4 linked regions of the Drosophila melanogaster genome follow. The protein of the gene in region 1 interacts with the protein of each later gene in a pairwise test. Each region holds a gene or a part of one and is shown in the gene's direction. Other genes may lie near its edges. The genes, in order: CG17147, nmd, CG1648 and CG9570.

What was found.
Region 2: the proteins of CG17147 (region 1) and nmd interact in a two-hybrid assay, tested with the Drosophila melanogaster proteins (one large-scale study listed by BioGRID).
Region 3: the proteins of CG17147 (region 1) and CG1648 interact in a two-hybrid assay, tested with the Drosophila melanogaster proteins (one large-scale study listed by BioGRID).
Region 4: the proteins of CG17147 (region 1) and CG9570 interact in a two-hybrid assay, tested with the Drosophila melanogaster proteins (one large-scale study listed by BioGRID).

The regions. Positions count from the first base shown.
Region 1 is NT_037436.4:20,218,161-20,226,235, forward strand, and holds CG17147 (uncharacterized protein), read left to right. Parts: upstream 1-5,771; 5' UTR 5,772-5,862; coding exon 5,863-5,869; intron 5,870-6,126; coding exon 6,127-7,133; 3' UTR 7,134-7,164; downstream 7,165-8,075. Other genes in the region: CG6933 (uncharacterized protein), read right to left, coding at 455-1,503, 1,901-1,943; CG17145 (uncharacterized protein), read left to right, coding at 3,692-3,698, 3,760-4,757.
Region 2 is NT_033779.5:10,300,072-10,308,812, reverse strand, and holds nmd (no mitochondrial derivative), read left to right. Parts: upstream 1-4,865; 5' UTR 4,866-4,976; coding exon 4,977-5,158; intron 5,159-5,214; coding exon 5,215-6,142; 3' UTR 6,143-6,640; downstream 6,641-8,741. Other genes in the region: Cdk5alpha (Cdk5 activator-like protein), read left to right, coding at 60-265, 338-479; CG4968 (uncharacterized protein), read right to left, coding at 842-1,255, 1,320-1,619, 1,694-1,768; CG5390 (uncharacterized protein), read left to right, coding at 3,308-3,664, 3,731-3,986, 4,044-4,651; CG13138 (uncharacterized protein), read left to right, coding at 6,858-6,869, 6,954-8,591.
Region 3 is NT_033778.4:9,808,172-9,816,398, reverse strand, and holds CG1648 (uncharacterized protein), read left to right. Parts: upstream 1-3,624; 5' UTR 3,625-3,650; coding exon 3,651-3,675; intron 3,676-3,734; coding exon 3,735-3,917; intron 3,918-4,430; coding exon 4,431-4,921; 3' UTR 4,922-5,080; downstream 5,081-8,227. Other genes in the region: lectin-46Cb, read right to left, coding at 1-694, 747-884.
Region 4 is NC_004354.4:20,047,876-20,055,674, forward strand, and holds CG9570 (uncharacterized protein), read left to right. Parts: upstream 1-3,418; 5' UTR 3,419-3,580; coding exon 3,581-4,213; 3' UTR 4,214-4,644; downstream 4,645-7,799.

The DNA.
Region 1 (8,075 bases):
GAAGGAGCAGCCTACTACAATACTAGGCTTTGAAGTACTGAATTCAAAACAATATCTCAATGCTGACGTCAATCAAGTAACTTCTCCAGAAATTTCCCAAGCAATGGGGTTTTACTGTTCCACCTTCTTCTAATACAATAGATGGAGGCCATTGAATTTTTTTAATTAATTATTTAATTAACTTAGCTTGGCAGATAACATTTACAAATACCCATCCCGCAGAAATTATATTTATATTTTGAGGCACATTTTCTGTGAGCCTCTTTTTGAAAGATTTGCTACCAAAAAGGCGAACAACTAATCAACAATTTCAAAAACAACAACATTTAAAACAAATTTCGCTTGGTCGAAGTCAACATTTTTATTAGTTTCTTTTGAATGCCTTCAGCATTGGTATTTATTTATATATTTCATAAAAGGTATCTCGGCAAACAGACGTGGCTGGAGGAGATGCTCATGTACTAGCCGTCGAATTACAAATGGCGTAATCGGGAATTTTGGTGGTGCAGATATTGTTCACCTCGTCGTAGTACGGCGCATTGGTGGGACATGATCCGGTTATTCCGCTGGAGCAGATTGTGTAGTTCTTGCAACCCTCATCTGCCATGAATGGATTGTTAACGTTCCCACATCGGTTATGGGTACAGACAAAGGAGGCTGGCGAAACGCACTTGCCAGCATTGAATTGGGTACCGGTGGGACATTGGTTCCAATAGCCAGTGGCGTTTACTGCTGCACAGTAGTAGTACCCATAGCAGGTGACACCATCAGAAACGTACCTATAGTCAACAGATTCCCCATTTACAGTAAGTGGATCTGCTGCTTTAAAAGCTTCTTCGTCACAAGCAGTTGCATTTGTTTGCCCAACAGTGAACTGGTCAGAGTTTCCACTGTTTGAATCTTCGCCGGTGCACGGATTCGTCGACTGGCAGTTGCCAGTGGCTTTATTATAGTAGGGATTGGCGGTGCTGGAACATTTTTCGGAAGTGCCATAGCCGTTGACGCAGTTGATGTAGTTGCCGCACTGGTTCGGATCGCCTACAAAGATGTTGGACAACATGAACCGACAGATGGTGTCCTGCGGGCAGGCGGGTCCCCATATACATTTTGTGGAGGATGCCGAATAGACGCCGCCGGTGCCGCAATCGCCATAGGAGATTTGGCCTGTGCCATCGCAGTAGGCGTATTCGGTGCAGTTCAACGGATTGGCCACATACATGGGAGATTTGACGTTGGAGCATGTCTCAACGGCACTGGTGGAGCACACCGTGGTATTAGCGTAATCACAGCTGCCGGCCTGCGCGTTGAACACCAAGCCGTTGGGACAGGTGCCCCAGGCCACAACCTCCTGGTTCTTGCAGTATCCCCAGGCATGGCAGTTGCTCGGATTGCCGATGTATCCATAGCCCGACCACTGTTGGCACAGATCATCCATCGTGTAGCCGGTGGCCTGCGATGCCATTAGGAGACATGCGGCCACGACACAGATCCTCATATTGATTGCTAAATGGGGGATACAGGGGGATACGAACTATGAATTATTAAATAAAATATAGACATGTGTAATCGTCGAATAGTTTTCTATTTTGTTTGTACTTAATAATGCAAAGAAATTATGCTAGAAACGACAAAATTGATAGCTTTCAATCCAAAATTCGTGTTAGCGTCTCTAAAATTGGTTAAGCCTTTGTTGTAGCCAACACGGCAGCCCTTTTTTTGGATAAAAAATCAATTAAGGACGAAAGAAAAACTCAATTTGAGTAACAAATCGAAATTTGAAAGTCATTTTAGCCATTTTTGAAAGTCATCTCCTTTGCAGGAGAATTTCAGGGCCTTAAAACCATGTTTGAAACCACTTTTCAAAATTTAGTCGAAGCAAGACGTCTTGAATACTGTGCACCTGAGATAACTGTATCCGTTCTTCGAGCCAACGTACCTCCCATCTTGGAATGCTAATATTTTTCGGGGACAAATTCACTTGATAGACAGACGACCGAAGCGAACGTTCCGATTTCGTTACTAACTCAATCAATTGCAGCCTTTGCGTTTTTATAGTTGACAATTCGCGGCGCGAACTGGGTGGGTAATTAAAAAATTGTCAGCCAGATAAGCCAGCCGCCAGTAGGGCGTTAGTATCGAAATTAATGCTAGATAAGATTCTAAGGTCTGGGGTAAACCACGCACCTTGCATCCCTCCGAAGTTGTTGGGTTAGCTTGAAGGCGGTTCGAAGGCGTTGGACGACGAAAGTGAAACTAGCGGACCCGGCCAAAATGGACTGGCTTATAAGCTCAAATCGATTCTTGGCCAGCGGACACCATACATACTTAGTTTAGTATGTATATATAGTTTATATATATTTTTATACGTTGACAGCCGCGCCGGAATTTGGATTATCAGCTGCTGATTGCGAACCCTCTTTGTCTATAATTGTTTTTTAATTTCGAAGAAGCTCGAGGAGGCGGGAAAGTGTCACGGCTCTTATTGATCACTCAGTGGTGTTTCCCTGGTATCTCGGCACTCATTTCAGCAACACGACATTAGTTAGATATCTCAATTTGAATCGCACTGCGACTCTTGACTTGACTTGACTAGACTTTCCTCTGAAGGTTATCAGGTTCTGGGGAAAAATTACCGAACTACAAATGTTTATATTAATAACTTGTCCAAAAGAACCGTTTGAACTGAAATACAAAATAAATAAATCGCACTATGAAATTATGAAATTATGAGTTATATATATTTATTTATTTGTATGCATAATTAAATAGTACAATTATATGCAAGTATTTTGAAATTTTATTATCTATCTATATAATCTATAAAAATAATTGATGTTAATGTTTAATAACAAAAACCCCATTTTTTTAGTCAGTTTTATTTTCCGTTAAACTATTTTAAATCTATCCGCCTTATTTTATTGTTTCGCCTAAAAGCGAGTTTTGTCCGTTTAGAAATTCGCCCATAAGTATGCAATGACATTTAAACACTTTACTCGATACTTTTTCCAAATCACAAGGCATTTTCGAAGTAATTTAAATTCTTAAAAAATAGTTCAAGCTACGTGCTTATTTACTTTTTATATTTAATTGGTAGAGTACTAAAAATGTTTTTTTTTTTATAATAAAGAAGGGAAGCTCTCTATTAACCCACTAAGCCTTATGAATTAAACCAGCTGATCTTGCTCTTCATTTTATTACTATTTTTTGGCCGAAATGATAACTTATCTACTTCCTATTTAATTTACCGGTAGCCAATTGGCAATCTCCAACTTGTTTATAAAATCACCATTCACTACGACTAGAAATCACCCAGTACTTTAGCAACGAAAAATATAATTAATTTTTTCTGAAGTAAAATTTTATGAATGCTCCTTAAAAACATTAAATTTATAAATACAATTTTATCAAACATTCCCATTTTTTGTGCTCTATCATTTACCTTTTCAAAAATATTATATAGCAAATCCCTAAGCAAAATCAATACATTTGATTGTAATCTTCGAGCTTTTAACAAATGACTTCTATTCATCTTTATTTAACCCATCTTACCCAGTTGAATACCCCTCAAAAACCAATCCGCTTATCTTGCCAGCAAATAGTGATTGCTGCTTATCCTCTGATATTTATAAGTAATCGCAGGTCGACGTTCAGATTCAGTACGAGTTTATGCTTTGTCCAAAGTTGAGCTGTAATGGAAAGTGAGTGGATTGCAAACTGCCAGTGGTGTAAATCTAACTTTATTGTTTTTTCAAATTGCAGAATTTGGTGCCATACTGGGCGTGGCACTGGTGCTACTGCTTCAAGGCCTAGATGTGGTTAATGGCCGGAATGAGGACATCTGCCGCTTGTTCTCCAATAATACGGTGATCCGAGATCCCGAATCCTGCAGTCAATCGATCACGTGCATCGATTCCGTCAGCTACTACAGTACATGCACGGGATCTACTCCGTTTTTCGACAAGGACACGGGCAAATGCGTTAAGTCACTGTCCACTTCCACGTCCAGCTGCTCGATATCCTGCGCGGATCGGGCCAAGCAATTCGTGGCCGACCCCAAGTCCTGCTACGGCTACTATTACTGTGCGGACGAGGAGACGGCCTTGTACGGCACCTGTCCGCAGGAGACGCACTTCAATGCCACCACCCAGATGTGCTCCCGCCAACACGAATCGGATTGCACCACCAGCACCTTCGAGTACTGCAGCATTGTTAAGAACGGCGTAAACTTCGACAATCTGCAGGGCTGCAATATGTATCACGTCTGTGAGAAGGGCGTCCTGAAGGACAAGACATGCTCGAAAACCTATTATCAGGCCAGCACGGGCGAGTGTGTGTCCAAGGCTCTGGTGGACTGCGATGCCCATCCGTTGCCCACGGATGTCTGCGGCAAGGCCAGTAAGCCCTACGAGAACAAGTTCGTCGCGGATGAAGCCACCTGTCGCGGCTACTTCTACTGCGCCAAGCAGAAGGATGGCACCCCGGACCCCAATCCGGTGTGGAACCAGTGTCCCCAGGACAGATTCTTCGATGCGAGCAGCCAGATGTGCATAACCCCCAGTTCGGTCTATTGCTCCCACGATCGTTGCGACGGTCGGACTGCTAGTTTTGTCGTTAGTGCCACCAAGGGCTGTCGCAACTATCTGAGCTGCTCCGACGGGGTAACCGTGAGCGAGAGGTCCTGCGGCAACTACTTCTTCGACGACCAGCAGGGCGCCTGCACTCCAAGTGTCCAGACCTACACCGCGTGCAAGACGTAGGCATGTATTTCCAATAAAGCTCAGAATGCAATGTGATATTTGGTTAAGGAAGTGTTGTAATGAAGTGCACTAGTTTGGATTCTTTCGGGGACTGTGGAACCTGGATTGTCATAGATATAGATACGCGGCTCTCTAGCGAGTTCGTGTTTATGCACAATGACAAGTTTCTGCTGTAAGCCAGTATCTTTGCTGTAACTCGAGGATCGTAGTTGAGATATATTGTTTTTTTACCCGTTTTTATAAGAACGTAGATTGTTTTCGTTGCTCTAATGCTTAAGATTAGCTACCAAAAAGAACAATAATCTTAAACAAGTTCTAGTTCGAAATTCGAATAAATAATATCTGATGGGTGAGTGAAGAACACCTGTATTTTGTTTAATATTCCTGGAACAATTCAGCTGAAAACTAGGTAAATGAACAAATAGAATTTTAAGAATTCACTCAATCATGGAAACTTTTCTTGCAGGTGGTAACGATGGAATAGCATGGCCTCACCGAGGAGACCATAAATGATAATCACTGTCCTATTCGTTGGTTACAATCAATGTTTTCAAAAGTTCTGATTTTCCAAACAAAAACCTATCGAAAGCGACAGTGAAATAGCAAGGCAGTATATTTTAAAAGGTTGTCATATTTACGGCACAATAACTGCTGACCGTTTAATCGCATCAGCGATAAATATATTTATAGTTCAATTAATTAACGGCCAACAGAAGGTTCATTTGACTCGTAACTACCGTGGGTATACCTCATTAACTAGTGGCACTTTCCTTTTCGACTGAAGTTGCCAAAATTTACTATGAAAGTGAGTCGTTAAGGAATCTGCAGTCAGCTGTCTCGATTTCAATCGATTTCAATCACCAATTACGACCTACTTGAAGGGTTTTACCTCCTTTCGCACAACATTGATAAGATTTGCTCATAAGAGAGGCAATAAAGCGCTGGTATCAGCAGAAGCAGTGGCAACGATAATGACTCCTAGTTAATATAAGATTCTTCCATTCACGAAACTCCATTTAGTCGCGCGTAATTGGTTCCCGAGGCCACATCAAACCACTCGATCTATTCTGTTGCAAATTAAACCAAAGTTTCCCAGCAATCAGCCATGCTAAGTGAGTTTTATGAACCCATTAATTTACCGTCATAGATATTTACTTATACACCCTGATTCAGCCTTTATTTTTAGTGAAAAGTAACAGCTTGCATGCGTTTTTAAAGATACAATTAAAATGTAGAATCTAGATATTTTGTTCATTCATATTCATTTTTATAGGTATATCTTTAAAGGTTTTTAAGCATATCTATATGTTTTTCAAAAGGTGTGCTGTATCAATCTAATATCTCGCGATCATATGTATATCATTCGTAGACCTCAAACTTGGAGTGCTTCTCGGATGCGTTCTCTTGTTGGCTACCGTAGCTCTTTCGGCGAGTGTCGGTGAATACGAGGAGCTGTGTCGCCTTTTCAAGAACGGGACCAAGGTTCGCAAGCCCGGCACCTGCGACCAGTACATTCAGTGCTACGATGGCAACGGCACCGTCCTGACCTGCCCCTCCAACCAGTCCTTCAATCCCAGCAAGGGTAGTTGCGTGGACACGTTGGCCAACAGCAACAAGTACTGCGGCAATCGCTGCGAGGGATTGGATGGCGAATGGGTGGCCGATCCGACCGAGTGCCACAAGTACTTCTACTGCATGAACGGCGTACCGCTGGCGGGGATGTGTCCCGTAGGCCAGCACTTCGATGAGCGCTCTCAGTCCTGCCTGTACGGCGTGGACTCCATGTGCGTGGATGTGAACAACATTTGCGAGCTGGTGGCGGAAAATACGAAGTTCCGGAATGAGAAGGACTGCGCCTACTACTATGAGTGTGACAAGACCGGTAACCATGCGTCCAAGAGCTGCACTGTCACCTCCAAGAAGCGCGAGTATTTCGATGTGGAGAGCGGCAATTGCGTGGAAGCCAATAAGGTGGAGTGCACCGCCCATTCGAAGGAGAACGTCTGCACCAGCAGCACAACAATGACATTCAAATCCGACCAAGCCACCTGCCGTGGATACTTCGTATGCAAGGCCCTCTATCCCGTCGCCGACCTGGATCCACTGTGGACGCAGTGCCCCGAGGGCTACTTCTTCGACGAGGATCGGCAGCTCTGCGCCAATCCCACCACAGTGGTGTGCACCCACAACAGATGCGACGGACGCGGCACGATGCTGGTGACCAGCAGCAGCAATAACTGTCACAACTACATCCGGTGTGTGGACAACAAGGAGGTGACGGAGGAAACCTGCCACTGGGATCACTTCTTCGACGAGACAGTGGAAGCGTGCTCCTCCAAGATCATCTACGATAAGTGTTGCGATGGCCGGGACTAAACAAAAAATAAATTTAACTAAAAGTGCAAAGAAAAAGAGGTAGTTGATTTTTATTGGCGATCAATATATCCGTTAAAAGCAAAGACACTAGAAAGGTACACAGGTTAAAAGGGTATACTAGATTCGTTGAGAAGTATGTAACAAGCAGAGGGAAGCGTTTTCGACCATATGGAGTATATATTCTTGATCAGGATCAATATTCCACAAACCACCCAAAACTGTCACGACCACACTTTCGAACAATTTTTAAATTATGGTTTGGTTTTTAATTTCTACTAATATTCAAAAATATCGGGGACTTCGACTATAGCATTTTTTTTTGTTTTTATTTTGTTTTCAAAACAATTATATTTACGATTTGGCTTGAAATTTCAGTTTTTTTGGGTACAATACAAACATATACTATGTGCTTTATGAGCAATCCATTAATAGCACACATTTAAAATTCAGGTAATTGCCCGTATGGTACGCATTAAAATTAGACAACACATTTCTAATCTTTCTAAATTTAGAAATCAATTAGTTTTATCGTTCTGTTGATCAGTTACCAAAATGTAGAACAACATCCACATGAAAATACCAAGATTAATAGTACCGTCTTGTTAACTGTTTCTATTTGTTTATCTACAAAACGTAGTTGAGTTAATTTGCAATAAAACGAGAGCTTATGCTCAGGAAAATAAGAACTTTTTTATATGTATGCGTAGGACAATGGGAAGTAAAAAATAAATCCGCAGTTTTTTTTTAGAAAACTCAATTAGTTTTGCGTTTTCCATACGAAGTTGCCGCTTTGTTGTTGCATTTTTGAAATCATCAACGACCGTTACATTCGTAATTAAAATTTTACCGATTCGGTTTCGGCTGTTATCGATAAATACACCCGCACAGAGAATTTAAGTCGCAGCACTGCGCCTTGCGTGTTGTTGTACTTTAAGTTGTACC
Region 2 (8,741 bases), on another chromosome or scaffold:
GTACAGTAGCTACTCTGCCACATGTCCTTCAAACAATAAGCACAACATTTAATTCCAAGGACGTGGCGTTCATAAACCCAGCCAATGTGGTGTTTGTCTACATGCTAGTCCGCGAGCTGGTCAGCGGAGAAGAGAGCAAGGAATCGGATCTTCAGGCATCAGTACTCACCTGTTTGTATCTGTCTTATTCGTATATGGGCAATGAAATCAGTTATCCACTCAAACCGTTTTTGGTTGAAGACTCGAAGGAAAAGTTTTGGGACAGGTATGTCAAATAATAAGTTAATTTCAATGAAATATTTTCCATCTGCATCTTAATCTTTAATGTAACATACAGGTGCCTCGTCATTGTGAACAAGCTAAGTGATAAAATGCTTAAAATCAATGCTGAGCCGGGATTTTTTACCGAAGTCTTTACTGAGCTGAAATCTTGTGGTCAATATCATCCTACAATTAAATCATACTGTGGAGGCGCCTGACGGATGGACGACCGGGAGATTATTGTCAACCTCTCATTGTCTGCGCATCGCCAGAAATTTCCGGATGAAATGATGGCGAAGTACCGTTAATAAAACTTAATATTTTATAAAACATTAGACAATTTCATTATGTCACTATCACAATCGTTCAAATCAAATAATAAAGATTAGTGTTTAAATAAATTAACATCTACGATATGTGTAAAATCTGTGTTTCCATTGCTGGGCTAATCAATCAATCTCAATCTTATGCAGAACCAAAAGAGAAGGAAAATATTCACCATATATGCAAATAAATGGTAGTTTATTATACATCTTATATACATAAATCGTTTCGTAATCTAGAAACTACTGAGAGCAATTCAATTTGGATACAGTATATCGTAGTGGCCTGGTCGATATATCAGGTAAATTCGGGGCTCGCTTCCCTCGGGGAAATCGTGGGCCTTCACAGTCCCACCTTCGCCACGGTCCAAGTACTCGACACGAACTCCAGCGCCGAGGGCGGTGCATAGAGCGATTATGTGGATGTGATCCGATTCCTTGTACATCGGCTCCACTTCCAGATGGCGGAACGCCTCAATGGTGAGGTCGCCTTCGATGAAATTTTGGTAAAAATCGGCCTCCTCCTGCAGTTTTCCCGAGGTGATCAAACGTAGGTAAACCACCACGTAGTCTGAGTAACCCTGCTCATTGAAGATCTTGTGCAACTCATCTTGGACCGTGCTGTGTCCTCCTGCATTGTCGGGGCTAACGCGCTGGATGACTTCCATGAACTGGACATACAAAAGGCTGCATAAGCATAGGGAATTCGTTTTGCATTTGTACGGCTAAACATACCGTTTCGTGAAAGTCCTCCAATGTAAAACTAGGAAATCCCAGCTGAACGAGCTTCTCCTTGGACTCCTCGGCCAGTTTTTTGAACTCCTGGTAGGCACTGGTGTTTGAGATCAAGTACTCCAAGTAGGAGTAGGCGAAGGCTCGGAAGAAACAATTGCCATCGGGGCGGGTGCGGCGAATGAACTTGTACTTTTTGGACAGATCCTGGATCTTGGCGGTGAAGATCTCGTCGCCACTGTATTCCGCATACAAGCAGGTGAGTGGCAACTGCTCGCTGACCAAGGGAGTTGTGTCGCTGATCTGCAATTATTGAAATTCGGCATTATTTCTCGGTTCATTGTCGCTATTGTGTGTAAGTGTTTCTGCAGACTCACCTCTTTTTCAATATCCCGTTTCTGCTGAATTATTAGTTCGTCGCGATTGCCATCATTATGGGTAAACGGCTCCATGTTTCTCTGAATACTGAACAACTGCGATCGGCGCTTCCTTTCAATTTACTTTACTTTGTATTCATTTGATGAACTAAAAAGAATTCCTGTTCATCATATGTATGTGTAGGCGCATCAAATGTCACACACACAGGTCTAGAGGCGAAACTCACGGACACACTGATGCTTTCGATTTTGTCGCACAGCTATCGTTATCGGGCTTCAATTCCAGTTGTTCCTTGGCTCGAGAATAAAAATAAATAAATATTTGAAATCGCATTTTACAAACACGCTAAACCATTAAAACGGTTTTTAATAACAAATATACGTACATAATTTGTGTATGTTTATTATCTATAAATTTATAAAATAAAATAAAACTTTGAACTGGTTTTCCGCTGTGTAATACGTAAGCTGGGAACTTCAATTGGAACCAGCTTTCAAAGCTTCTCGTCAGAAGATCATCGGCTGAGACTTAAGATTGAATAAGAAATCAATTCAGTTGAGTGTTTTCTTCATTGCTCAGCGAACGTTGCGCTACTTTGATAAATTAAGTAAGTCTTACTAATAGAGTACACTTTATACTAAATAAAATTGGACTCAAATTCAATTTATTGAAAATGTGTAGTTCAGTTATGTGGATATCTGATAGAGTTTAATCTTTTTGGTGGTTTCTATGTCTTGTAACATCTACAATACATTTTTCATCCATATATGTATGTACATGTGTATATACATATTTTAATCAATCAAAAAGATCTTAAAGTTCAATGAATAAAGTGTACAAAATATCACCGCCTCACGTACTTTTATGAGCACAAATCAGCGGCAATGGGAATACATTTATATATGTTAATGAAGAAGAATTGTATAATGCTAAGTTTACTCGAAACTAAAACCAGTTTTTGCCCTATTTTATTTGCAAGGAACATATTGTTAGCAAAAATGGTGAACCTTTGTGTGTAAATGGCAATTAATTAGTGTGTTATAACTTATTATTAACTCTTGCGAAAAATGGAGGGATTGCGCTTACACATAAGAAACTATTTTTGTGTTTTAAAGTAATTATACATGCTTTGTTTTTATTGACAGCGAAAATTGACCCACCGCAATACATTAGCATTTCTTATCGCCAAAAGTCATATTTAAACAAAAAAGCAATCAGGATTGATAATGAGGCGATCTAAAAGAAACAATACGTACATATGTATATATTTGCTCGGAATTTTAGTATTCAAAAAAGAAAGCAAAGCCTCACTGATAAGACAATACATTCTAGAGTTAATTAGGTTAATTGTTCGCCGCATAAACATAAACGTATTCGTATCCGCGTCTCCCTTCCATTAAAATGTGTCACTCTGTTTTGGGGGAATCACATTCACCTTTTATCCGGTTTAAGTGCGATATTCCAGCAATAACAATCATTATTATATTACCAATACTCGAGCTTTACTCACTTTGCTTACCTTCATCTTCATCTCTTTCCTCGAATAAGTGAGCTTTCTGACCTTAATTATGTAAATATGTAAAGAGCATGATTTAATTTTGCTTTCCAGGAATATGATATTACTAAATTGCCTAGTAATATGCCTGTGCATATTTTCCTGTGGTGCCCAGGACTCTTCCTTGGACAAATTGATATCGGACATCTTTAAAACGGACGAAACACCCAAACCATCATCCCCTCCCCCGCCAGTGGTGAACCCCAAGGATTCGTCCGGTAGCACGGGATCCGAAAACGGAGGATCGAGTTCAACGCAGTACCAGTCCTGTGGCGATCAAAAGGAGTGTGTTCCTCGCTGGTTGTGCGCCAATGATACGATTAACACCAGTGGCGATGGTATCATTGACATTCGACTTGGTACGGACGCCGAATGCAAGAACTATTTGGATCTTTGCTGTGATCTGCCCAACAAGGTAACACATACATAAATACCAATAAGCTTTGATTACTTAAATTAAACTATAATTTTATTTGTTAAGAGAAAAGATCCGATTTTCGAGTTTAAGCCTGATCATCCCGAGGGCTGCGGTTACCAAAATCCCAACGGCGTTGGCTTTAAGATCACTGGAGCTGTCAACCAGGAGGCCGAATTCGGCGAATTCCCCTGGATGCTGGCCATTCTCCGGGAAGAAGGCAACCTTAACCTGTACGAATGTGGAGGAGCATTGATAGCTCCCAATGTGGTTCTGACCGCGGCGCATTGCGTTCACAACAAACAGCCCAGTAGCATTGTTGGTAAGTGTACATGCCATCTATGCCATCTATGAGATCTAATTATGAACTGGCATTTAGTGAGAGCTGGCGAATGGGATACGCAAACGCAGACTGAGATCAGAAGGCACGAAGACCGATATGTCAAGGAAATAATCTACCATGAGCAGTTCAACAAGGGATCGCTCTATAACGATGTGGCTGTCATGCTGTTGGAAAGTCCATTCACCCTCCAGGAGAACATTCAGACCGTTTGCCTGCCCAATGTGGGTGATAAATTCGATTTCGATCGCTGCTATGCCACCGGCTGGGGCAAGAACAAGTTCGGCAAGGATGGGGAATATCAGGTTATCCTGAAGAAGGTCGACATGCCCGTGGTGCCCGAGCAGCAGTGCGAGACGAATCTGCGCGAAACTCGACTCGGCAGGCATTTCATTCTGCACGACAGCTTCATTTGCGCCGGCGGTGAGAAGGACAAGGACACCTGCAAGGGTGATGGTGGCTCCCCACTGGTGTGTCCAATTGCTGGCCAGAAGAACCGCTTCAAGTCCGCCGGCATTGTTGCCTGGGGCATCGGATGCGGCGAGGTGAACATTCCCGGAGTGTACGCCAGCGTGGCCAAGCTTCGTCCGTGGATCGACGCCAAGTTGAAGATTTGGAGTATTGACCCCAGGCACTATACACCCTAAGAGCAAAATTGTCACTTGAATTTGTGGGTTTTAATCTTCATGCTTCACAATGCTCTCACTTAATATATGCCCAATATGTTAATACTCAAAATTAAAAAAAAAAAAAATCTTTTTATTTTAAGCTGAAAAAATATTTTCGGAACAGTGGAAAAGGAATAGGCTAACAAAAATTGAATTCAGTTGGCAGCAATTTTGAGCTTATCGATGTCAATTTCAGTCGGAGCACCTGGTCACACTGTCGTCGGTGTGCATGGGGAATAAGAACAAGAAAGATTAGATTCGTGCAGGCCAACGTATTTGCTCTAAATAGAATATCTGCAGAAACATGGACAACTTCGGACTGGGCGGATCGGATCTAAGCAAGGGGCAGATATTCCAGGTACTGGTTCGCCTGTCTGTGGCCTCGCTGATCACATATTATTCGGTGAAATGGATGATGAACCAGATGGATCCGACCAGTAAAAACAAGAAAAAGGCCAAAGTTCTGGCTGAGGAGCAGCTTAAGAGGTTTATATTAGACTCATATAGCATATATTGTACATGTGTAAACCTTTTCCATGCAGGCTAGCCGAGCAGGAGGGCTTCAAGCTAAGAGGGCAAGAGTTTAGCGACTACGAGCTTATGATTGCGTCACATCTTGTTGTTCCCGCCGACATAACAGTCAGTTGGGCCGATATCGCCGGTCTGGATTCAGTCATTCAGGAGCTCCGGGAATCGGTGGTGCTGCCAATCCAGCACAAGGATCTCTTCAAGCATTCGAAGCTGTGGCAGGCGCCCAAAGGCGTCCTGCTCCATGGACCACCGGGCTGTGGAAAGACGCTGATAGCGAAGGCGACGGCAAAAGAGGCGGGAATGCGCTTTATCAACTTGGACGTCGCCATTCTTACCGACAAGTGGTACGGGGAATCCCAGAAATTGACTTCTGCTGTCTTCTCGCTTGCATCGCGAATCGAGCCATGCATTATTTTTATTGACGAAATAGACTCATTTTTGCGATCTCGAAACATGAACGACCACGAGGCTACCGCCATGATGAAGACCCAGTTTATGATGCTGTGGGATGGCCTCAGCACGAACGCCAACTCGACGGTGATTGTGATGGGTGCCACGAACAGGCCGCAGGATTTAGACAAGGCCATTGTGCGCCGCATGCCAGCCCAATTCCACATTGGTCTGCCCTCGGAGACCCAACGAAAAGACATCCTGAAGCTGATCCTCCAATCGGAGGAAGTAAGTCAGGATGTCGACTTGAATCGCTTGTCCAAGCTCACAAATGGCTTCTCGGGCTCAGACCTGCGGGAAATGTGCCGGAATGCTTCAGTTTACCGAATGAGGCAGCTCATCACGTCCAGAGATCCGTCAGCTACAGCGCTTGATCGCAACAACGTCCGCATCACCATGGACGATTTGCTGGGCTCGCACTTAAAAATTAAGGAATCAAAGATGCACACGAGCAGCCTATTCTTAGAGAATAGAATCGAATTAGATTAAGCTGACCATTGTTTATTCAAGCTCCCGATATATCCAACTTAAATTTGTATAATAAACTTTTTATTTGCCTTTCGAGAGGAGCTCCAATGTTATGTGTTAATTAACCCTGTTCTCTGCATTCCAAAATGGGTATCCGGAAAACGTAGTTTTGGTAGTCTTGAAAACAGCAACGGATACTGCAGGAAATTACACAATCCATAGCATTTCCGTAAAGCGGAGCTCAATGCACTTTAATTATTACATTTACGGGCTTCTGTGAAATATTCACCTAGAGAAATTTCAAACATTTATAAAGATATTGCACTTGTACACTTCTTCAAACACACACACAACTTGCGTCACGCGACCGTGGGCTTTCAATCGTAAAAAAAAATATAAGTAAACTTGTGCAGTTTTATTCTCTTTTAAAAAGGTCGTTTATTTCTGACGGCATTTCAAAGCTACACATTTGTATATCTAATTAAAAATGAATAAAAACATGCATACATTTTAAATAATCAAACCAAAACAAATTAGTTCTTGATGTTTTTGTATAATTTCTTAATTTAAGAAAAATATAGAGTGTACAAACTTCAAGCGAAGAAATTTGCTTCTGCACATTTTAATTATGTTTCGTGCTCATATAAATACTTTCTTCGATTGGCTCAAATCATTTCTGTTGAAGGCGTTGATTAAACCACTTCAAATCCAAGCGAGACTATATACTTAACAAAAAATGAACCCAATGGTAAGCTATATTTCCAATTTGTCTTTTTGATAGGAGATATTTTGTATGTACATACTTCATTTACGCGCATCCTTTCTATTTCAGTTAACTTTGATTCCTGGATACCTATTCATAACCTTAATAATTATTGGAAGTACTGCACACAGTAATTCCTATGCTGTGAATAAAACCAATAGTGTCGAAAGTGCCGAGTGGAGCTATCCTGAATACGGAAAAGGATCTACTCACAATACCGGAAGAAGATCGGAAAAGCTGGATCTGCAACATTATAATCGGGAAACCGAACGCAATGTGACTTTGAAACGCGGTGTGAAAAACTATCAAAAGCAAGGCGATAAAATGACGAGGAATAAACTGAAATATAAGCCATCTGGTGCTCGAAGAAAAAATGTGAGTCCCAATTATGCGGATGAGAGTACGGAAAGTAGGCATTATCATACATTCGAAGAGATCCACGAGCATATCGATGAGGACGATGGTCAATACCAGGCATCCGAACAGGTCGGAACACAAGCGATTCTGCACGAACATGTCGAGCACTCGAGTAAGAAGGATGCGAAGCGGATGAAGGTGAAAATCAAGCATCATCATCACCACCATCATCACAACCACATAAAGGAGCTGATCAAAACAGTACCACAACCGTATCCCGTGGAAAAGGTCGTCCATGTGCCCATTGAGAAAATTGTCGAGAAGATCGTACATGTGCCCAAGCTGGTGAATGTTACAGTTGAGAAAATAGTGCACGTGCCTATCGAAAAGATAGTGGAAAAGGTGATTCACATCCCAAAGCCAGTCCAAGTGCCCAAACCATATGTGGTCGAAAAGATAATTGAGAAAATAGTCCACGTACCGAAACCGTATCCAGTGCTCCGGACTGTTCCGTATCCGGTCGAAATAAAGGTGCCAGTTCATCTCGAGAAGAAGGTACCAGTGCCCTATAAGGTTGAGGTAGAACGAAAGGTTCCCGTTTACATTCGTTCCAGCGAGCCATATAAGTTCGAGTCATCATCACTCTACGAAAGTTATCCACGCGGCGAGGAGTTCAAATTTAACATGGAAATGGATCATCCACCGCCCAGAGAACACGAACCATCCAGCCTACCATCCTCAAACTACTACAACAGGATATACAAATCTAGGGAATTGGATCATCCTCCGAGGATGGAGGACTATCAAAGCTCCGTGCCCACACAGTTAAAGCACGATTACGCAACGAAAACTAATCTCGATCAGCAGTTTAAAAACGAGTACGTGACGAAAAGTAGTATTGATCCTCAATTTAAGCACGATTACGTGACGAAAAGTAGTATTGATCCTCAATTTAAGCACGATTACGTGACGAAAAGTAGTATTGATCCTCAATTTAAGCACGATTACGTAACAAAAAGTAGTTTTGATTCGCAGTATAACCAGGAATACGTACCCAAAACTAGCATTGAATCGACTTCTCCTGGACGGGATGGGGTTTCCCTGAAACTCGTCGGTCCCCCTACTCCTTTCAATATCACGGGAAAGGATTTGGAGACCGCCAACTCTGCTCCAGACTTTGTCAATAGCTCCAACGTAGACCTAAGTCCACAGGAATCGGCTAATGCCTATCGCGGTATGCCATTCTCCATACCATTTCAGTTTGTACAACTCCAACCAATGGCCTTTCAAAGTCCTATACATGTGGAACTGCCAATCCAATCCGCTTCAGCAGAAGGTGCTCAAAAGTGATAATCTAATCAAATGTTTAGCGTAAATAATCCTATTCAGAGAATTATTATATACCTGACAGACTTTTAAAAGACTTTTTCCCCACAATAAAAAAAATGCTAAAAAATAAGTTGCTTAATATAAAATATAATGCATATTAGAATATATAAA
Region 3 (8,227 bases), on another chromosome or scaffold:
GTGCGGCTCCTTCTGCTGCTGGAGAAACAGCTTCAGCTCCGGCGGCAGGGGTGGCAGTTGCGCCCGGCTCACCAGTTCCGCCAACGGTATTTGTTTCTTCCGCTCCCGGTGTCACCGAGACGCCATTCTGACCAGGTTGATCGTCATCGGGCACGTCGAGCGCCCCGACTGCATCCTCCGAGTCCGGCTCCGGGTGCTCCACTGAGCCACTGGCAATGGGGTCCTGGCGGTCGTGGTCGCCATCGCCATCGCCATCGTCCTCTCCTTCGGCACTTCCGCCAATGTCGTGGTGGAAGTGATGCAAGTGCTCGTGACTGTGGTGCTTCGGCTTCTTGCCACTATCCGTGCCCTGGCAGTAGCGTTCCGAGCAGATGAAGTATTGCCGCTCGTGGCAGTTGTCTGCCGACACCATGTTGATCTCGGAGCGGATCCTCACCTCCAGGCAGTCGTCGCACTCGGAGTGCTCCAGTGGCAGGACGTTGCTATAGTTGCTGTAGTAGCGCACCAACCGACCGTTGCTGATGTACTGGAAGCGACCCTCGTGGTACAGATCGTTGCCCCCGAACCAGAAATCCTCCGTGTTGCCCAGGCCACTCAGGAACCCAATGGCTCCGTCGAAGTCCCTTTGGTTACTCAAGTCCGCCAGGGTCAGTCCTTTGCGTAGGCAGTTGTTCAGGGCGCCAAACCAGTTCATCTGAATGGGTTTCATATTATTTCATAAGCCCATGCGACAGATCAACTCTTACCTTTTTCACCGAAAAGTAGTAGCACTTGCCGTTGATCCTGCGCAAATAGCGACGCGGGCAGGGGGGTCCTGATCCCAGGAGCTCGCCCCGCGGCAGGATGCTCAGCAGGGCCACGAGTGCAGTCAGGAGATGCTTCATTTCGCTCGCTTCCGCCGGTGCACAGTGAGCCGGCTCAAATCGCCTCCTGTACTTATATCCTCCGCTGGCCAGCAGTGCGCCCAATCGATTTGGAGCTCGCTGGAGCTGGAGCGGCATCTTCGGCAGCATGGCCAATTCAATTACAAGTCCATGCCGCCGGAATGCCTACGCCAATGTCGTGGGCTAATTTGCTCACCCGCCAGTGGGTCAGGTTTAGGGTCATTCAGTTTAATTGGCTATTAGATACACTCGAAGAAAACGAGCCGGAAAAGTCGCATGGGGTGCTGTAATTGCCAGTAATGTTAACCCTCTAAATTCCTTGATGGCAATTCATCCGCCTAATAATGGGCATATTGCGAGTAACTATTATATCATATATAGATGTTATAAAATTGTAATACAAGTTTAATGCAAATAAATTAAAAGATTATATATATGGTTTTGAAATAAGCAATAATTCTTAGCAGTATTCTAACTCATTCGAAGGTAGCAGAGCTTTCTTCTTCTGGAGTATGATGATGATAGATGGATATAAAATGCTTCAGTTCCTTTGACCCTGATCTGTCCTCCCATTTAGTTTGTATCTGCCGAAGTGAGTTAATTGCTGGCTATGAACTCGCTGGTAATCTTCAACAGCTCAAAAACGCTAAGAATATTAAGTTCTGTGATTCGAGCAACTGGAGTGACTTCATAGTCATTAGCATAACCCGCCCGAAGGGCTAGATGTCTGACCCGGCCTTGTTCTTTCCGATTATTGATTTACCTGGCAGGGTCGTGACATCAGCCATTGGATTGTCCGTGGCCAGGACACGAATCGCCCGCCTTTCCTTCTGTTGCCAGCTGACTCAGACGACCTTCGGTCGGATGACGATTGCGCCGGGTGGCCACAACAATTCGTGGGGCGTGTGAGTACCACGCCACCCCTTTCTGCCACGCGCGCTACTCTCACATATATAATTCTTTCGTATATTGTATCTCGATTGTGCAGTTGTATCTCACATGACATCATCAGCAATGGCAACAACAACGGCGGCCCCAGTAGCTCCATCGATTCATCACGGATTGTAGCTCTTTTTTTTAAGGCATCCAGAACTGGTGTGGAACGTGAGTCGGCAGACCTCAAATCGCAGTAACTCATAGATATTCGTTCCATGCCCGTATGTGTGTCCGTTCCGAGCTGGGTTCCCATGTAGCCCAAGCTACAGCTACAGCTACAGGTTTTCCTCTATCCGAGGCTTCTGCGCATTATTTCAGCTGCGAGTGCGACATCGACGAAAACAAAATCAGAGAGCAAAATCAAAATCCAAAACTAAAACCAAACCAAAACCAAAACAAAAACGACGCCAGAGGCTGTGAGAGAATCTGGGCTTATTGTGTTACCTTTTGGCCATGCTTCTAGCCGGTTTTCAGTGTTGACCACAAGTTGCCACAGTTTTGAATAAAGACTGAAGAACAAAATGCGTCGTATTACGCAAATGCCTTAAATAGGGCCGCTGGCCTTAGGAATTCCGCGTGTGTAAGCCATTAAGATATATATGTACATATATCCAAAGGATTTGGCGGGGAATATTAAACACTGCGGTTGCCTTATACGTAAGGCCACCTTTTTTAAGTTTAATAACTTATCATTCTACGAATGTATTTTAAGTATCTTTAAATACGATTTTAATTTGGAAAACAGCACAATATACTTAGCATGCATCTCTATACATATAGTTACATATTGTACAGTGTAGATTGCACGATTCCTTCCACTTAAATTGCTATTCTAGATTCTAGATTGTTAAGCAAGTCCAATGCCACATACATACATTCCTTAGCCATTAGCCATTAGCATTTGAAATGTCTGAATTCCCTTTGATTCACCCTGTTTTTTTTGAGCAGTAAAAGTAATTTTCAACACCTCGGCCGAGCCCACACATTCCATAATCTCGATACCCAGCAAGCGTAGAATAGAAACTATTATTTTCGCACAATTTTCGGCTCCTGCGGTGGCGATTGGCTCATTAAATGCGAAATGCGAAATGCGAAATTGGCCGAAACTAAATTATTTGGAAATGAGCCGAGTGTATGGGGCCATTAAAGTATCTCTGCGGAGAGAACCGAATCAGAATAAACACATTCCCGATCACAATCAGAAAGCGTGAATAGACCGCACTAGAAACTTGGGGGCGATTTCATTCGCCGGCTGCCCATTATGACATCACATACGCCGAATAATTTGAATACTCGAGCTTTGTTTGCCTCATTCGCATACAAGCATACTGTATATTACAAAGAAATTCCTCGGCTATTTCCGCCCGTTTCCGTTTCGCCCAACCGATTCGCACCCGGTTCCGAGTTGAGCGGCACAATGTTTCTATTTGAGTGGACGCACACGTCACTCCCAGTGAATGCAGATTCGAGGGGACAGCAAAAGCTGGCGCTCGTTAATTTCTATTAAATTGCGAATATAAGTCTCAAGTCTCGAATTTTAAGGCTGACGCCATGGGGCTGGCGATCACGATTTCAACAGCCCCTAGTTGCGCAGTTTCTATTAATAGGAAAGTGTCCCAGTCTAATCGATCCGATTTAGTCATGTAAATAGTTCATGCTCCAGCTGCTTTGTTTATGTTTCGGCAATTACCTGTCTGGAATTTGGAATCTGAAATCTCAAATCTCGCATCTTCGATCTGATCGGCGCTCCACCCTGCTGATTGCAATCAGGCTATAAATTATAATTAGCGCCAGGCCAGAGCTTAGTTAGCATTCAGAGGGCCAGTCAGCATGTTTCCTAGTCGCCAAAACCAAAGTAATCCCATCCAGCCAGCACAGTCAGGATCTAAAATGCACTCCTCATTCAATCCCCAGCTTCCTTGAAGAACTTCGGTGACAAGACCGCCAACCTCTTCAGCAAGAAGAAGGATGAGGCCGAGAAGCTGGCCAACGAGAAGGCTGCCGAGGCCCAGAAGCTAGCCGAGGAGCAGGCCAAGAAGGTGGGCCAGTCCGTACAGCAGACCAAGGGCGAGGCCGAGCAGTTGGCCGCCAGCACGGGTGAGTAACGAACATCCAAAAAATAATGAATGTAACACATAAAAGATGTCTTAGAGAATTAATTGGAGTTATTAATTCTAAAGACTTCCAAAAACTCTTGCAACGAAGAATTGAATGAGTCCCGTTTGAGATAACTTTCAAAATCAACTTTCAGTTCTTGCTAAAAATGTTTTCTCATTAGCATTCCATTTCCAATTTATCTAAAACGCAAATCTTTTAAGCATATCAAACACAAGAGAACTTAATAAATGGAATTCTTTAGTGACGCGTTGACGTAAAACATGTTTCCAAGAATAAGATTCGCATTTTTGAAAACATTTCTTCATAAATATTGAAATATTTCTATAATTGTGAAAAGCAATTTAATGTGCTAGAGATTTATAACTAAACAGAACATCAATGCTATGTTTTATGCTGGAGCAAAGCCCGACCAATTCAATAAATATCTTTAGGAGCACTTTTAAAGATATTTTGTAAGAATTTTTCCCACTAATATCTCTCTTTATCATACAGCCAAGGAAGCCGCTGCTCTGGCCACCGCGGAGGCTCAGAAGGCTGGACAGGCGATTGACCAGGGTGTGAACCGTGCCGCCGGAGCCGTCAACCAAGGCAAGCAGGCGGTGGACAACACGGTGGCCCAGGCGGCGGCCGTGGCCCAGAACTCCAAGCAGGTGGCGGCCAATGTGGCGGAGGCCTCCCAGCGAGCGGCCGCCAATGCGGTGGACCAGACCAAGAAGGCGGCCAACGACGCCATCAACAAGAGCGTGAAGGCCGCCGAGAACGTGGCGGACCAGAAGCTGAAGCAGGCGGAGGGCGCCATCGATGGGGCACTGAAGCAGACCAGTCAAACGGTGGACCAGAAGCTGCAGGAGGCCAACCAGTATGTCGACCAGAAGCGCCAGTCCGTCGAGAAGACCGTCCAGGATGCGGCCGGACAGGCCCAGGAGTCTGCCGGACAGCAGGCCAACGCCCTGTTGGGCAAGCTGCATCTGGGTCAGAAGTAGAGGCGTCTCCCTTCGCGGTGCCACCTAAAATATCTTGATGTGAAAATGCTTTAGATACAAAAACAAAAAAAATAGAAAGGAATTTGCTTCAATGTAACGAGTGCCAGTAATGTGATTGCTAAATCCTCAATTGAATATACACAATATATATATATATATATATTTACATATTTTTTGAATATCGCGCGGACGGATTATTTTGCAGCCGCTGCTTTCGATGTGAGCATTTCAGCACATCCTCTGTCCGTATCCGTACAAAGTGTAATTAACCCCTTCGTTCTTCTTCTTCGGCCGAATTTTGTTACTTTGAGGCATTTGATATTTTATATACAGCTGCGCTGAGTATGCTTTTAATATACGTATATTCTGTTTATGTAGAGATGTATGATTAAGTACCTTTAACTCTTGCACAACACATTGCAAATGTGTTTTTAATATATTGGATTCGAATGAGATTTGTGGTCTTTCAATTGGTGGGGGTGCCACTAAGCAAAGCGTATTATATGTATATATTTGGATATACTGATGTTATGTTGATTATATTATTACTGAAACTTTTATTAACTCATTTTCAATTTAGCGCCAAATGGTGATGTATGGTAATACTGTAATCTGGCCACACTGAATTTACTTCGGCTGCAAGCGCAAATAGCGCCACCTACATGTGGGATAGAACGCTGAATGGTTTGAAAACAGGGTATCCATGTTTTATCTCGCTTTTACCGTTTCATTCAAAAAAATTAAATTACTTTTTAATGAAGTTTTCAAACTACAAGTTTACTTGATGTATTTATTTGGGCTTACTATTTAATTACTGACTTATCTTGGCCATTGGTTGTTCAGAAAATAATATTATTTCTGGACATATTTTGAGCATATAATTACAGCTATATACAATTTCTTTAATAAAACCAATAAATCAGTTATAAATTCTACACATTCCACTGTTCACCCAAAAGTGGTAACATTTTATTTTGCTTCTAAGACAAAAGAAGTTTTTTCCGGCTTACCCTTTCCCCTTCCTCCAGAGCTGCCTGTCTCATTACAGAACCTTTTCACAGATCCAAGGTGAGCAGCAGGGGAAACTTTCGCAGAAAAGCGGACCATGGAGATGGACGGATCTATACAAATAGACCGAAACATGCAGAAATCTGCTAATAGAAGAGGTCATATTGTGTACTCCGATATGTCGGGCAACTTTTCGTCGAACAGAAGCCGAAAGTTGTGTTAGGTTTTAATTATGGGAAAAGTTTGTTGTGGCTAACAAGTGACCCCGGTGCATTGCAACGTCAATTGAACGCACAACTTCAAAGGACCAAAGGACGAAAGGACCAAAGGACGAAAGGACGCTAGGAATGTGTGCAAAGTATTGGCAGCAAAGTGCTGACATAAATTCAGGTAAGAGCGATTTTTAATTTCAGATAAGTGCGCCTGCTGACTGGAAAGGCGAATGATAAATGCATTCCATTTGCGATTCAAGTACTAGTGGGTGCGAGGCGCCAAATTCAAATTTATGCCGGCCACGCAAAAGTCGCGCCAATTAGGTTAGCCCAAGCGAGTTGATTTAAAGTTAAGCGATACGAGCGGCGCGATTAATTACAATAACTGTTTATCAACACATATTAATCATGGTTTAACATGCTCCCAGCTCGTGTTGACCCAAGCAAAATGGCGTGCAGCGGAGTTCCGGTCATGTTGGGTATGCCCACTCCATACCCTCCATGGGCTTCCTTTAATTTTCAAAGTTTAGAGGGCGACATAAAGTGAATATATTTGGTGAGCGTAATATCGTTTTTAATATATTATGACCTTATTTGTTGGTATTGCCATGCGTTTTTGAAACACTCACGTCTCTCCCAGCAGCTTGATGCCCTTTTGATTGACCCTTTGGTAATTCATGAGTGCTCAAACAGATGCTTATCCGCTTTTTAAGCCGTGACCAATTCCACTTATGAGCATATTTTACACGCAGCCAGCGGCGTTAATTTTATCTGAAAAGTTAAATGTGCGCGTGTGTGGGCAATTAGGCGAGGAGTATTATCGGCCCTGAAACTAAAACTGCGCGAGAGGAGAAGTTCCCAGCGACAGCCACTGATTGTTGCTGCCGGGGAAGTCCCTATCCCTCCATTTGCGCACTTACACTTACATATGTATGTATGCACACACGCACCCACACTCGCACTTACACTGTGACAAACTGCGCACACCAACATTCTCGCATTTATCGCCGTGGAGCCATTAGATCCACGGGGAACTCAATGGACGTTGACGGGCGTCTTGCCAGCTGCATGCTAAATAAACCCCCTCGAACAACAACTAAATCAGCTCAAGAGCCTTATTCCAGGGATTCGACTAGGGGATACTTAGTCATATTCTGTTCTTATCATCTTAGTATTCTATTTATTCAGTGATTATTAATCTGGCTTATATCCCATCTCTAGTTAAACCATATACTAGATCTTACATTATTATATTTTAATTGATTAATGGAGTGTTAACTGTGACTGTGGCTGTTTTTTGACAGTTGTAAGGGCTTGCGAACTTTTATTAATACCCCTCTAATGCACTTTCCTCGTACTTCTCCAGAGTGCAGAGCATACCCAAATGACGTGTTAAAAAAGCGCAACAACGGCGAGCGACAGTTACAGCCCGAATGCGTTGTAATTGTCAGCTGAAAGGACATGCGAGGAGGAGAAGGAGGTCGATGGGGTGGTTGGGTGGAGCCATCCTGGCCGGAACAATTGCCTCGATGCGGTGCTCAATTTGAGCCAGTGGCGCGTGTCGCAGAAGACGCCAATAAAGTCGTACGTCAGTCCGAAGGAGAGTGTCCGGAAAAAAGGAAAATGCTGCAAGTTGCAACAGACGTGCCATGAAATCCAAGGTGCAACGTCAAGGGTAACTGGGAGTCGAACTGAGTGGAATAATTGGCCTATGGAATCGGAAGGCATTCGAAGGGTTGAGCAAATTTGGGCATTTGATTTGTTTGAGAGGATTATTAATTACAGACCAGGCGCAGGCAGGAAGATGGCCACAAATCTGTTCGGTTGTGAGGATGAAGCCCGACTGCTGCATGAGTTGATACACTGCTGCCGAATGCCTGATGTATGGCCATTGGGACAACTTTGATTGGCCTGCCGGTGATTTATGCCGGAGCTCATTAATTATGCTTGTTAGCCCGATGTTGATTTAGTCACCTAGTCATGAGCCTGCCAACGGTTTTCGGGGCAAAAAATCAAAGAGATACCTCCGCCTAACGAGGTTCATAATTAGCAGCCCTTGAAATGCGATCTGTCCATCGGTTGCCTA
Region 4 (7,799 bases), on another chromosome or scaffold:
AGAGATTCCGGTTTCTGTTCGTCCTGAAACACTTTGCATATTTCTAAAACTCCTGCCGGACATCGTTCGGTATCTCTGGTCCGACTTTTGCCGGCATATAACATTTTTATTGCCCTTATATTTGGCTGTCCAGACTTTTCCCCATACCATAGCCGCCCTATTGTTGTTGTTTTTCGACTTCGTTTCATTGAAATGTAGAATTTTTATGACACTTTTGCGTTGCGTCGCCCTGCTTTTCTGTGAATATGCAAATTCAGTACCACGCCTACATCCTATACATCCTATATATACTATATTCCTCCATGGACCGCCAACGTGGACAGCCTCCGAAATAAATGTATATGAAAATGCCCGTGTTTAAGTTTTTTAAGCGGCTGCTACACTCGAACAAAAGTAGTGCCCGTGAAAGGGCACAACATGAATGTGCATATGGAAAAAATGTAAGCAGCTTATTTACTTAAGCCAAAATAGTTGCAATAAACGAAAACTCAAGCCATGAAATTTCATTTATTACAATGCGACGACAACAGTTCTTTTTTTTTTTTGCGGTGTGAGAAACAGGATGCGGACACGGGGGCGGTAAAAAGTAGGCGTGGCGCACTGACAGTGAAAATATTTATGCATTTGGCCGTGAGGCAGTTTGAGAACTCAGCTGATGAGAATTGGTGGGTGGCCCCACTTTTAATGGCTGGCAAAGGAAATTTATTTTTTGAAGGGGGCTGGAGCTTCGACGCTTCGACTTCTTAGGTTGACTCAAAACTTGAGCTCAGATAAAAGTCATAAAGTTTGTCTCTGGAACAACTTGCTTCTCCGTGCGCCACTTCCGTCGCCTAGCCCCCTAAACTCCATTTGGCTACACTGACAGAAAATGTGCGTTGCTTACTTAGTAGTAACACAAGTATTCCTATAAGTAATAGAACGATATAATAGCGCTTCGCTTTTCAATGGCATCGAATTTCCCAGTTTAATACATACATACATATTTAGATCGCTTAGTTAGCACAGCAGGCCAAAAGAATGTTTATTTTTAAACTGAGAGCACAATGGTAGATTTTTATGTTTTATATAATTCCTTAGAAAGTATATTGTGGTCGTAGATCCATTGATTTCGAGCGACATGTGATACGAGTCCAAGGAATTGTTTGCTCACCTTTGTGTGGCCATCGTTTTAACATTAGGCGATTTCAATTTTCTATCGGGGAAACTCGAATGGCAGGCAAAGAAGAGGCGATGTGACAAAGCCGAGAACTTTAATTAAATATCCATTTCCGGTGCGGCATCCGATCTGTGCGAGTTTGTTTGTTGTTTGCTCGTGTATTAGTCGGTCTTTGATCTGTCAAATGGCAAGGCACGCAAAAACAAATGTGGAAAAGCCGCAGGAAAACTCATTTACTTGACCAGTGCGGCAAATGAAAGGTGGGTGGTGCGGGTGGTAGTGGTAGTGGTAGGGGTGAGGGGTTCTGCTAGAACGAAAGAAGGGCGCCGCCGATAACGTATGCATCGCACACTGACAAGATATATGATGGCAAACTTTAGCCAGCTTGCGTTGCTTTTTGTCGTTTGCCGCTCGCAGGCAAATGGCAAAAGTTTGATGTCCCCCCAACAACCATATCCCCACACTACTATCCCATGCGTGGCATTTGAAATGCTAATGGCAGATGAGCTTAGGCCAAAAGCTGAAGCTGGAAATCCAGAGCCAAAGTCAAAGTCAGACACACAGAAACTTGAAGGCTGGAGGCCTCATAATTGAATGTTTGGCCACTGCAGCCGGGTGGCCTTTTGTGCGGCCGGCAAACCCCAAGGGGCAAAGGTCAGGGTGCCCGACGAGGGACCAAGGACAAACTGTTGGCTAACTAATTTAAATATCATGAATTTAACATAAATATATGTATGCCAAAGCGGCGAGTGGCAAGTGGCAAGTGGAAGTGGCAGAGACAAAAGGGCCCATATCTCATATATCATATGATATCAGAAAAATCTGGTGACCCCTTTTGTTGCAACATTTCACATTTCACTTTCTGCTGCTGTTTGCCGTTTGAAAACAAATGCGAAATGTTGGTCGAAATCTGCATAAGCAAATAGTGTGCGTTCTTAGGGGATGGCACTTTCCCATGCCCCATGTCCCCATGTCCCCATGTCCCCATTTCACCATATCACCATTTTCCCAATTCCCCATTTACCCAGTTTTTCCCAGTTTTCCCATTTCCCCGAGTCCATTGTACGTGCTTCGTTGGCGGGACTGCGGGAATCAAACCAGAAACCAGAAAACCAAACTTTCAATGGACTGGCTGGCAGCAAGTCAAGCTGCCCAAAAACGGAAAACAAAAAATCCCAATCGACTGGGGATGGTATCCATCTTTTTAATCAAAGCCAACTCCCAATGCAAAATATTGCTCTACCCAAAACGATGGCACGAAACCAAGAGCCAAGATCGAAGGAGTATCTAGCGTTTATGTCCGAAAAAGAAGACACATTAATGGGAAATACATAATTTTGGGACTGGCTGGTAATAAATTTAAAGTTGTCTCTGGCGCTGAGTTGTCCAATGAGCACCAACCCCTCAGTCCTACTTCCGATTAACCCACCCGCTGTCAGTCTGCTTTTTTTAATTTTATTTTCGTCGTTCTCTACTTTTAGTCCCAGCTAAGCCGGAAGGGATCAAACGGTTTTCCCCGCCCGCTTTTGCCAGCACAAAAAAAATGAGGCAGAAATAAGGAAAGAAATAACATTTCGACAGCTGCCCCACTGCGAAAGGTGGGGCTACTGGGGGTGGCCTTTCCTCTGGGTCAATGAGCATCAGAGGTTGACTGCATAATTTATGAACATAAATGGGCGTGACAAGGGATTAGGGGGGCGGAGCGTGGCGGTCTACCAGCGAAGAACTGGGGGTCACCTAATGACCTGGCGCACTGCTAAATGCATGGAAATTGTCTGCGCCAGAGCGAATTACAATTAATTGGAAATATGGCTAAGCCCGGAATTAGCCCCGTCTGCAGGTGGGAGTATCCTCTTTTCCGCATTTTCACATAGCATGGTAAATCCTCGCCGAGGCAATTGAAAAACGAGAAAAATAATTATGCCAGCATTGACATAAAGATTAAGATTCGCCATGAATATTGCGATTAATAGCCGGTAGCTTATCAACTTTTCCAACCGTGGTCATTTTGAATTGAGTCGAAACAGGTATATACAGGTATATACTAATGGAAATGTAGTGCGAAATGTGAGATGATAGCAAGATTTGTAAAGAAAATAAAGAGCGTTGTAAAAGTGAAGTAGTAACGAATTCTTCCGTTATCCCGTCGCATGCTTAGGCAGGCGCATTCGTTACCAGTTTTTGCCTCGTTACGAAATGTTTTTCCTTCGATCACGTACTCCGCGCCAAAGTGCTCGAAACTTCAAAGCCCGGGCAACCAACCTTACATAAGCAAATCACAACGATTCGTTGAAGCTAGCACACACACACACATCCCTCTTTCGGCCTGTTACAAAATTTTTAATTTTACAAAATCGTAAAATAAATCGAGGAAAGTTGAAAAATTAAAAGTGCCCAATACACCCAGCATAACCAATCGCCACGATGACCTGCACATTGGTACTCCTGATTGCCAGCGTTCTGCACTTCCGAATGCGTGGCAGTTGTCTGCTGGACATAGAGCGTTTCCCGGTAATTCCCGGCACCATCTACGCCGGCCACATTGCCTACTGCGCCATCCTATACTTCCTGCACGACCTGGAGATCCTGCCCACGCGCTATCGTAGCCGGATGGGCTGGCTGACCACCTTCCTGATCGAACTGGTGTTGGGCGTGGCCTTCATGGAGGTCCTGGCCCTGTGGCTCTGGTGCAGCGTGGAGCACATCCTCCACCTGTCCACCCAGTTCGTGCTGCGCCGCTATCTGGGCGTCTCCACCGAAGTCTACCAGCGCTGGGAGTGGGCCATCATGGGTGGTCTGATGACCACGCTGGCAGCCATGCTCTGGATAAACGCCTTCGAGGCCACGGAGACAACTAAAGCAGAGAGGGTGTCGAAGGATGTCAAGGACATCCGGATGAAGGCGGTCCTGTGCCAGCGGGAGGAGAAACAGAAGCAGGATCACGATCTGGAGAAGATTGAGCAGCCTGCTCCAGAGCCAGAGGAGTCACAAAATCCTGATGAAGTGCAGCTGCCGGAGAATCATCTAAAGCTGCTGGCCACCACCACTGATTGCTAACCCCTTGTCGTCGCCTCCTGCAACTTGGGCTGCAGACAAAAAGACTTCGCAAAGCGGCCTCAATTAGACGAACGATCATGCCGGGACCAGACCAGACGAAGCAAATGTATTTATTCCAGCCAGATGGACTCGAAAGGCTCTAAAAGACCGTGCCAAAGGATACTGGGAATGGGGAACGGGGCGAAATGATGGACTGCAGTAAAATGTCTATGAAAATTGACTTGGTGTCCTGGCATTGAGAGGCAGTCGGGCGGAAGGAGCTGCCAGCGCCTGGATGCGCGTCAATTGACAAATTGTCGGCTCGACTGGCCCATTCGTCCTGGTTTTGCCTTGCTCCCCGTGCTAGGCTTGCTCTCAACTTCCCAAAACCAATACGAATGCCAAAATGCCAAAAATACAATCCCGGGCAATTTTAGACCCAAACAGAGCAGAAAGTCATCAGAAATGTTGTCTAATTTCATTTCGTTTCACTCGAAGGCCAATTTTTGGCTTTTATCATTCATACAATTTCTGGCAACGCGATTTTAACGCTGCTGCCCGTATTGCGTATACGCACTGTGGTTCACGGAATTATGGTTTTTTTTTTTTTTTTGCTGTGTGCGTGCCGCAGAGTGTGTGTGTGTTCGCTGTGTGTGTGTGTGTGTGTGTGTATTCCTAAGCAAACAATGGCCGAGCAGAGCTTTTGTTTATTCTTCCTTCGCTGTTGCTTATGTTGCTTATGGCCACCAACACAGGCACACTCATACAAAGATACCGAGCACTCATACACCCAAAGCGTGCCGAATTTTGGTGCGTGCCTGTTTTTGAGTCCCTCGTTCCCTTGACGGCCTCCCACTTCCACTTCCACTCCCGCTCCCAGTGCTATAGCCACTTTTCCCATTCTGTGATCCTGTGTTGTGTATTTATGGAAACATTGCTCCGAAAATATTTTAAGGACGACCAACTCTCGGATGAAAGAAATCCAAGGGATGCTGTGGGCGGACAGTGGGCGGACTGTGGGCGGGGTGCAGGTGCGGTGGAACCTTTGCCAGACACTGGAATTGATGATAATACCACCGTTGGCTGCTCCGAATACACAAAATCTGATGGAATCGAAAATGGGACAACTGACAGGCAGGAATCTGGGGGGAACAACTGCTGACTGGCCGGTTATTGAGTGCCCAAAGATGCGAATGGAGATTGTCACATCGGGAATCCTTGCGGGAATCATGCGAGGGCGTAGTAAATCGAAGTCATATCTCAAAAGATGACAATTAAACACGTACAAAGCGATCCAATTGAGTCTTGCGTTTATCAGCTTAAAGATAATTCCCTTCAGAAAGAAAATAGAACAGTTTGCCCTAGGCCTTGCTAATTACACATTAAATTCTATATACTTTAAGCAGGCAAATGCCAATTTGCAGTGCCGAAAATTAAATCATTTTCGGGTGAAATCCTCCAAGTCCCTTTGAAACTGGGGTTGACTATTATCATAGGAGGTAAAAGCACTCCGCAGATCATTTGTCCACGAAAACTTTTGCCTTTGGCGACTGCCTGTTGGTTTGTTTGTCTGTATGCCACTTTGGAGGACGAAGGACGGGAGTGTCCTTCGGCCCACTCGTGGCATAGCCAGCTGATGCCGAGGACAATGGCGGAGCGGAGGCTAATTAGCATCGTCAACATGGGCCACCTTAAGGTCCTGCGTCCTTTCTCGCTGCTTTTTCGCCAGCGAAGAGTGGCCCATCTGGCCCATCTGGCTGTTTGCAACATGATGCACGCGTCCCACGCTGCGCAGGACAAAAATGAGTTGGCCTAATGATGGTACAGCCAGCGCCCAAGCCACACCCACCCGAGACACCCAACCAGTTCTCTAAGGACATCCAGGCATCCCCTCGACATGCAAAACGCCAACAATAAAAATGTCACTTTCGCGTGTTGGAAGCCAGGAGGAAATCATTTTCACCAAATCGCAAAATGCGCACAGGAAACTGGTGGCAGTGGAGAGGGGGGGGGGGGGGGGCAGCGGAATGGGGCAAAGTGTTCTTATCATAAATCACAAAACCGCTGCCCCGTCGAGCGGCGGGGGATAATTAATTAATTAACAGCGTCTCATCATCATCGCCGCATTGTGAACTGGGTTGCGTGACAATTTCGGGAGTTTTGCATGAATTATTTGGCCGAAAGCGAATTGTCAGCAGAAAAACATGGCCAACAATTAGCGAACGCCACTTGCACTTAGTTCGCTATCGGCACGCACGCACCATCCCAGAAAATCGCGATCCCTCCTTGAAATTAATGCGATGGATGCACGATAGTTGTGCCACTTCCTTCAAAGAGGCCCAGTTTCCTAGCATACTATATATGTACATATATAGATGTACATAAGGTAAATATATATACATACATATATATATCGTGACTGCTGGCGACAAAGAACCGGCTGCTCTTCCAAACCGACGAACATAATCCCATTAGGAACACCTCGTCGCGATTTGGACGGAAATTCCGCTGGCAACAGTTAGTCGTTATGTTCATGTTAATGCCCCCATTCACAACCGATATCGAGCTGCCAGAATATGGTCGAATAATTATCACAAGATTCCACCATTCAGTGCGCCAAGAATTTGGCACTTTATTGTTTAATGGGGGGAACTGAAGGTATAGATAAGCATCATAGCTTGAATATATGTTATAGTCATATATATTGATAAATTAGTAAAACCTATAAGAACCCTATGTTCATGTCCCAGAATGTATCTATTCAATTAGGCAATTCAAGATAGACTCTAGTTAACTGCTGTTGACTGCTTAGTATGACCTTTAGTTATAGTTCCTACTCGACTTCGACTTTATTCCTTTCATGTTAAAAGCAAAGCCATACCCATTGTTACTTATATTTGTTGTGCAAAAGGCCACTTGACTCCACTTCCTTATTTTGCACTTTGTTTATTCTTTGGCTTCGCTCGCTTCGATTTCTCGCCGATTTAACGCTCAATTGTTTACTGTAAGCCTCGTTTGAAATTTGCGCCGTGAAGTTTGTATACTTTGCTCCGCATTGCACTGCTCTCGAAACAAAAAACAGAAAACAAAAAAAAAAAAGGAATAGCAACCGGAAAGCGTGATCCAAAAAAAGTCCGCAGAATTGCATTTAAACAAATTTGATTGCTCGTTTGTCAGTGTTTTTTTTTTTTTTGTTTTGTCGGTTTTTATTTCGTTGCGCTATACCCAACCAAGTCCAAACAAGTTGGCAAGTTTTAAACATTTTTTTGCAACCGACTTTGTTTTTGTTGCTCTTCATGTTGGGCATTGTTTGGCAGCTTTATGAAAATTTTAAGTACATCAAATTTTTATGATTTTCAACAAGTGTGTCTGTGTGTGTGTGTGTGTGCTGAAAAAGCGAGGCCAGTGGTTTGGGTGGCTAGAATTGCGGATTTGATTGCGATTGTCTGCCGCGCACACACACACACACCCAAGCAGCACCACCACCCACACAGCCGCACAGCCACACACCCGCACTTACATACACAAACAAGCGGCTTCGCTCTTTATTGCTGCCGTTAATCCGCAAGAATTTGTAACATTTTCCAATTTGGTAATCGTCTGAATG